Linked DNA regions of Arabidopsis thaliana. The protein of the gene in region 2 interacts with the protein of the main gene of each other region in a pairwise test. Each region holds a gene or a part of one and is shown on either strand. Other genes may lie near its edges.

What was found.
Region 1: the proteins of MYB13 (region 2) and NRPB6B interact in binary tests that used the Arabidopsis thaliana proteins (3 or more experiments, as listed by UniProt).

Annotation. Positions count from the first base shown.
Region 1 is NC_003071.7:1,618,167-1,622,210, forward strand, and holds NRPB6B (RNA polymerase Rpb6), read right to left. Parts: upstream 2,214-4,044; 5' UTR 2,081-2,213; coding exon 2,043-2,080; intron 1,756-2,042; coding exon 1,722-1,755; intron 1,642-1,721; coding exon 1,469-1,641; intron 1,383-1,468; coding exon 1,331-1,382; intron 1,231-1,330; coding exon 1,163-1,230; intron 1,072-1,162; coding exon 1,002-1,071; 3' UTR 625-1,001; downstream 1-624. Other genes in the region: AT2G04650 (ADP-glucose pyrophosphorylase family protein), read right to left, coding at 3,820-3,920, 3,992-4,044. UniProt on the Arabidopsis thaliana protein: DNA-dependent RNA polymerase catalyzes the transcription of DNA into RNA using the four ribonucleoside triphosphates as substrates. Component of RNA polymerase II which synthesizes mRNA precursors and many functional non-coding RNAs.
Region 2 is NC_003070.9:1,887,467-1,891,796, reverse strand, and holds MYB13 (myb domain protein 13), read right to left. Parts: upstream 2,436-4,330; 5' UTR 2,288-2,435; coding exon 2,155-2,287; intron 2,001-2,154; coding exon 1,871-2,000; intron 1,186-1,870; coding exon 708-1,185; 3' UTR 521-707; downstream 1-520. UniProt on the Arabidopsis thaliana protein: Plays a regulatory role in meristem function. Functions as component of a regulatory network controlling the establishment and/or development of the shoot system by the regulation of apical meristem function. May play a role in tolerance to boric acid.

The DNA.
Region 1 (4,044 bases), on a different chromosome or scaffold from region 2:
AGCATAAATTCAGTGGCATTGAGTCGTAAATAAGTTCAAAGTCCAGAATTTATTTGTTAAAATGGCTGCAAAAATGTATATGTAGATGCATTATTTTGTACGTTGTGTATCCCAAGGTCTATTTAACAGTTATTTGCTTTGAGTTTAATGCATTATTCTTCTCTAATCCCTGCATTTTTTTTTTTTTTTTTTTTGGAAAATGGTAAATTAGATTCAAAAAAGATAACGTCGTTACAATTAGTGTATCATATGTTCTATATGAAATAGATTGAAATCAGAAATTAGAATGAACAATTTAGTGATTAACTTCAACTTTGAAGCCAGCGTTGGAAACGCATTTGCTTGTCGATCCATTGTATTAGAGTGGCTGCAGATTTTGGAGATTCATCATGACGTCTTCGATTCCTCTCATGCCAGATGGTGTAAACGGTGGTTTGAAAGATGTATTTCATCAAGAAACATGCTACACTATCCTTGCGTTGGGCCGAGACTATGGTGAGTAGTTGAGTCCAGTCACTTGTATAGTGTTGCTGAAACAATCCTCGAGCAAGCGCTTCACATAGTTTTTAACATTACTATTTCTCAACTTCTTTAAACAACATGCATAATTCTTCTCTAATCTTGCTTTTTGATTTTTAGCATCACTCATTTATGCATCAATCGATCTGACTCTGTGAGACGACAAAAGCTGGGAAGTGTGAGAGAAAAGGTTTATCAATTGAGTTGTACTTACTCAATACTCAAACTATTATAGATGTTTTCTTCTTTTGGTTTCACGAAGGATTTTCTTTCTTTGTATATGTACATGCAGGCTTGTCGAAACCCATGTCCAAAAACAACTTGGGACAAAAAATTTGTTGTTCATGCATTTTTGTTGGAGTCCCTGACTCTTGTAGTGTTGGAGAATAGGACAAATGAAGAAGTTCTACATGCGACTATATCGTAAGTTCATAATCCATACAAGAGCAGAAAGCTTTGCAAAACACATAGGCCAGATTTTATCAATCACCACCGACTTGACGTTTCCACGAGTCTTCGACGATCAGTTCATCAACTCCCCATTCCTCGTAACTGATTCAGAGTCATAAGTAAGTCGCAAGAAAAGAAGATATCAAATTTGAAAGAAGAGCTAAAAGTATTGATATAACTAATGCAATCTCACCTCATATCAGGTAGATAACGTCTAATGGTAAATGGAATCTTCCTTTGCCTAAGCTCTTTCATCGCAATCTTAAGCCAAATCATACAATAAACAACACAAATGTTCATATACATATCAACATTTACTGACAAATCATGAAAAACACAACAAGAAGGAAGAAGGCAACACCTCAAGTGGATCAGTCTCACCCTCCAACTCAACCATAACAGGAGCATTCATGCTGTATCAGCCAACAACAGTACATAGAATCAAACTTTCCGAGCCAACTAAACGGTTAATCAACAAAGATTGTTCTCAGTAGCTGACCTAATCTGCAAAGCACGAGTGCCGAGGATACGTGCACGTTCATACTTAGTCATAAACTTAGAGGTTTTACGTGGGCGTTGCACAGGTTCTGTTTCAACCTTATCTTCTGTTTCCAAAGGGTCAACATTAACATCATCGTTCTCCTTGATATCAGCATCTTCCTCTACTCCTTCCTACTCACACCAACACATTCTAATCAGCCTAGTAATAATAATAAGCAATGTCAATCTCTCTTCTACAAATAATAACTTACTTCGATCTCAGGCTCTGCTGGCTCATCTTCATATCTGCAATTGAAAATCACCACATAACATCAACAATTTGAAATCCGATGTATAAGATTCAAACGAAATTAGGGTTTTCTATCTAAACAATATGAAATTATAATCAATGCTACGATGCCAGAACAATAAGCAAATTTTCAAAAAAGAATCTCGTTGATAGACTCTCAAACTAGACAATAATTGATCCAATTGTTCTCAATCGTTTACGATTCGTCGGGAAGAAGAAGATAGAATCAACTGAAATCGAGTACAAATGATACTAACATAGGAAACAGAGAGGGAGAGATTACCCCAAGTCATCGACTTCATTGTAATCGTCGTCAGCCATTAAAGTCGATTTGAGAAATCGCTCTCCTTGCTCTCTCGATAAAACCCTAACGATCGATGCAACTTAACCGAATGACGGAGAATGCGTAAAGAAGACTCTCTATGAAGTTCGGTTTTTAATTGCCGGTTTTCTTAATGAACCGTCTATTCAGACCGGTTTTAATTTCAAACCCCATTTAAGCCCACATGTATTTTTTTTTTTTCCCCTAACATAGCCCTGGGCATGTGGTATTCGGGTCAGGGTCGGGTCGGATTTTTCGGGTTCGAATTTTTGGGTTTAGAAATTTTGGATCCGTATGGTTATATCAACAATTTCGGGTCGGGTTCGGTTCGGCTTCACTTCGGGTCCGATAATTCAGGTATTAGTTAAAAAAACCATAAGTAACCAAAACTATTTCGGGTTTGAGTACTACTTACCCAAACTTTGTCCAAATATACCCAAACATACATAAAAATATCCATAAAACCCGAAAGATCTGAAATTATAACAAGTTTTTCCTTAAGCCAATAATATAAAACAAGAAGTAAACCTTGTTTTAAGCTTGTTCCATAACTCAAATCATTAAACAAGTCACATTATTAGTGTATATATATCCTCATATGTATATATAGGGCTGGGCAAAAAACGGGACCCGATATCGAACCTGATACCCGAACCGAAAAATCGGGTTGGGGTGGGTTAGGGTTTTAAGAAATTACTTCATTGGGTAAAGTTTTAGTAAACCCGTGGGTATCAGGTCGGTCCGGGGTTTATCCGTTACCCAAACAGGATACCCGAACATAGATTTAATATCAAAAATATTAATTATATTTAATCTTAATATAATGTAATAATCTAAAATTATAATTATAAATCTAAATATATCAATTACTTTTAGATCTAAATACCCAACTATTTAAAAATTATTTGTTATGTTTGTCAAAATTTAGTATAATATATCTAAATCTAATTAAATTATTAAAATTTGTTAATATTTAAGGTTTTTTTTTTGTTGGGTACCCGCTATCTACACATAAAATACCCGTTTTCATTTGTTTGGCTATTCTTAGGGCCTGAAATTCTTTACCCAAGCCGACCCGAACCCGAATGTACCCGAACTAGACCGAAATCGAAAATTTTCATTTTACCCTATTGGGTAGTAAATCCATTACCCATTTAACCCGAACCCGAACGGGTTTTACCCGAATCCGAACGGGTTACCCATATGCGCAGCCCTATGTATATATATGTTCGGGTAATAAAAAGTACCCACGGGTATCGGGTTCAGTTCGGGTAATTTCCGGTACCCACGGTTATTTGAAAACAGAACCCGATCAAGTAATTAGCCGGAACCGAAGTAGAACGGGTTTGGTTATTTCGAGTCAAGTTCAGTTCGGTTCTTCGGGTTCCGGTATTATGTCCGGGCCTACCCCCACAAACGAAGTCAAGATAAACAATTTTTCTAGTGAGCAATTTGCACAAAAGAAAGGAGCCTAAGGAGGTATTGAACACTAGTGATTACACAATCAAGAAGCAAAACTTCTTTGATTCCTTGTTATCTTAGATCTTTTAAAACTCTTTCTTCTAAAATCTTTTTAGTATCTAAACACAAAGTACAGTGAGAGTTTACAAATCTTCCATAGTTTCACTTACTCAAAATCTAATCCTGTGAACTCAATTCATGTAATACACAATTCTGTAAAAGTTTCTCTGTTTCAATTAAAAAGAAAAAAAATCCAAACGATAATCATTGTGATAAATCACAAGATGATATCATCTTGAACACTAACATTAAGAGTCTTATTCTGGAGAACAATGCTTCCTATGACTGCTACTTCATCTTCCACAGTTACAGCCTCACCTGCAGAAACAAATTAATCAGAAAAAATATAACGAAAAATTTGTTGAACAAAAAGAAAACAATGAAGTTACCAAGAATGGTAATCCCAAGCCTGTCATTGTAATCTCCACTAGCTTGAACTCTT
Region 2 (4,330 bases):
GTTTTTTTTTTTTTAAGATATATCGGTTTAAATTTATTAGCTAAGAACCAGTATCTGTAAAATCAAGATCGCGCACTACAAGAAATTGCTACGGCCAAACAAAACCAATTTCTGACGAGCATTCACATCTTCTCTTCTTTTTAAATTTTGGGCTTAGAAACCACAATTGCTTCCATGCATGGAGCAATTGAGGATCACATTAATACATTAGTTTGAGAACTCCAAATCTATTAGGACCGGAAAACCATAGCATAATCACTTTTTTTTGTGCGAAAAACCATAGCATAATCACATGGCTACTTAAATACTATATTTTTTGTCGGTTAGCCATTACTGTTCTGTTAGTGAATTATAAGAGTTTTAAATGTGATTTATATAGTAAATTCATTGTGCATAGAAAAAAAGGGAATATGCGACTACCATTAGAACAACAACATAGACTTTCTTTAATCTAGCCATCCACTAAACAAGTTACAGTACAAGACATCACCATAGATTTAAAATTACATTAAAAGGGAGAGAAAAAAGAAATCATAATATATGTATGTATAACATGATACGAACATTTAGCATATGTCCTGATCTGTATTTTAACTAACCAAAAGTAATAGAACGATAAATAGAAAGAGGACTAATATAGGAAACGTAAACGACTTTTATTCATGTGGGTCACAAAGGAAGATATATAAGTCTTTAACTAAAACAAATCAAAACTCAGAAATGTCGGACATTTCTCCAATTATACAACTACTACTAGTGAGATGGTCAAACCAAAACTCCATGTCATGGTTATATCCCTTATCGTTTCTATCTAGTGAGCCCTCCCAATTCTCTATCTTTTTCTCATTCTTCTCATTTCCTGAAATGTCACAGTCCATCAATACCACTTCTGACCAAAAGCTCTCATCTATAATTGCAAGAACATCTTCGGATGACGTCGCGGAGTCTTTGTTGCTATTGGAGATGTCATTGTTGTTTCCCAATGTTGTAATTGCTGAAATGTCGGCACTACTACTAGATTGTTGTTGCGGAGAGGTTGGCATCTCCGCAGCTGTAGTAGAGACGAAATCTTCCTTGTTGTTTTGATCTTGACTGTGGTGGAGTCTTTTCTTTAAATGAGTGTGCCAAACATTTTTAATTTCGTTGTCTGTTCGTCCAGGCAATTTTGCAGCTATCGCAGACCATCTACTCAAAACAAATGTCACATGAATGACTCATCAATCATCATAATACGTCGTCTACATTGTTATGAGAACAAAGAGCGAGTAAAACAAAAGGAAAGTTATTGAAGTTCATGCGTATGGTTAAAAGAATTTGCACATGTCTTACACTGATCACAGTGCCTATCTTTGTCTACTAGTGAATAAAAAGTATAATTAGAGGAAAGTAAAAAATTGAAATTATTTAATGGACAAAGGCAATCACGGGTTGGAATCTTCTCAGTTCTCTGCCCCACAAAGATATAAAATTTCGCATATTGACAAAAGCAACACATATACAAAGAGAAAATTGTGAAGTAATCTAGCTAGCTAGTCTCCACAGTTAAAACAAACTAAACTTCCAAAATAATGATACTTTTCACAATTTGATGTCCCAAAATCCTTCATCTACAAATGAACATTATATCATTTTCACTGTAATATATATGGAGTTATGGACTAAACAGAAATTGCATTGACTTACTTTAAAAGAAAGAAAAAAACTTGTGATTTGACTTCTCAAAGATTAAAAATAAAGAAAAATTTGTGAGTGATTTCTCAAATTCTTGTTTAATTTCTGGTTTCAAAGAATATAGGACCAAAAAATCTAAAATTTCGCATATAATCAAAGGAAGAAGTAAAAAAACAGAAAATGGAAAAGGAGGAGAAACCTGTTGCCTAAGAGTTGATGTAAGCTGATGATAGTATCTTCTTCATGAGGAGTGAAATTGCCACGTTTGATGTCTGGTCTCAAATAATTAATCCAACGAAGCCTGCAACTTTTTCCGCACCGAAGTAGCCCTAATCATTTCACAAACACCATTATTAACTTTACACAACAAATATACACTACTATATACTATAGAACAATAATACACATGCTAGCTAGGTACAAAATTATTTTGTTACTAATATATACATATGGCAAATAGCAAATATAAAATGGCTTATTTACCGGCTAGTTTAGGGAGAGCTCTCCAATTGGGATGGCCATGGAGACTAATATAATTGATCAAGATTCGATCTTCTTCAGCACTCCATGGCCCTTTCTTCAATCCTATCTTCTCACAGCATGGTCTTCTCCCCATCTTTTTCTTCCTTGTCAAAAACTAATTTAAACGAGGAGAGAAAGAAGAAATGGAAGAAGCTAAGGTTTCTATTCGTGAAAGCAAAGGAAGCCAAATGTTGGAAGTAACTAGTAAGTGTACGATGGCTAAGTGTGTTACTATATTTATAGAGAGAGATATAATTAATTGGGACCGTAGGAAAATGACAAGCTGGAAATTATTTTTCTACTTTTGGTACACAAAGGCCAAAGTTTTCCCAACTTCTTTTCCTTTACCTTTTTCAAAGAATAGTTATCTTAATTTTTTCATAAGTCTTACCGAGGAAATGCTAAGGCCACGATCTATCAGCTATTGTGATGATTTGATTTTAATAAGCAATGAAGGTGAATTTAGTTTTGTAGTAACGGTATGCGATTATCAATGAGTGTCGAGTGGTTTAGTGTAAACTGATATGACTTGTATATATAACTAGATCATGGAACTAATAGTATAGAGAAACTTTATACAAATAGTTGACAATGTTATACTTCAAACCACACGAATACCTGACAACTACAGAGCACGGCTGTGATTGAGACTATTCATTTATATAACCATAAATGTGTACGAGTAACAGCCACATATTTTTATGTTTTACATCAAATATATGTAAGCTTCAATCTGACCGTAGTTTAAAATTCAATAGAATGGCTAAGACACAAAATTTGAAATTTTATATCGAACACTAGGTTTAATCTTATCACACTTCCCATGAGGGACGCATACCATAAATTTATCAAATAATGGACCACACCAAGAATTATACTAGCAATGTTATCATCGACACATCTCATTTTATAATCGATGACTCGGCTTCACGGCTGTGTAGGCATCGCCATCGCCACACATTCCTTTCGCTCACCGGGTCTTATTCTTTTTCTCAAGATTTTCGTAATCTGAATAAAAAAATAAAAATAAAAACTTCACGAGGATAGAAAATGAAAAGAGAAAACATACAATCTATATAATCTTTCCAAGTGGCCGAAGAAAAGGGTGATGAATCCTCTCGTCAATAAGATCAGTAGGCCCAAAAGAGATATTTCAAATTGAGTCGCATCTGTCGGGTAAGTTAAAGCAATAAATAACCAGCCACAGGTAGGGTTTAGGCCCTCTCATCTGGCTCTAGATGACGAAACGTGTTAAAACGCCTACTTCTTGTTGAGGCCCAAAATAAGCCTCATAGGAGAGAAACCAAAAACGTAACTGTCACGATTACGAAACACCCCTTAATTCCATTTTGCAAATGCATCCCCTCCTCACCTTTGTTTGAGATGTTTTTATATACAGCTCAGCTCGATAACCTAACTCGACACCCTCTAAACAAAAAGTTACAAAACGAATATAATAATGTCTTCGGCTGATCCGGTTTAACTGAATCCCAATTCCCAAATTGTAACATACATAACATGAACTTAACCGGACAAAACTGGTTAGCAGAAATTTTCAAGTGAGTTTACGGAAACACCCTTTTCCGCATAGCTTTTGTGTCACGTGGGACCCAGCTAATATTCTTCACAAAAAATCCGCTACCTTGCCTTGGAAACATATTTTGCATGACCCAACAAACATGAAATTAAGAAATACTTTACTTTACAAGGAAATAATACAAATAAAGCCTTTTTATCTTATTTATAATATCATCGATCATTGTATATCAGAATTCAGAAGTCCTAGATAAAATGTTAAAAGTTGAATCTTGTTTGACCTAATAGAAAAGATTCCACTGACAAATTTCTATGTCTATGACTATGATCAATTTTATTTCCTCTATATGTAAAAAAAAACTCAACTTCACATAATATTTTTTGAATGTATCGTTTCTTATTTATTTTTTAAAAAACTCTGCTATTTTTCCAAAAGACAATGCGAAAAAATCTTTGAACGTGAAAGTGAAATTAAGAAAATCTCTATTATAGTCGAAGGATTCAAATCAAGCGTAATATTACCGAGAAAATATAATCAATAGACAGAAATACCCCTAAAGATCATATACCAAAACGGCAAAACCTGAGAGAATCGTGACGG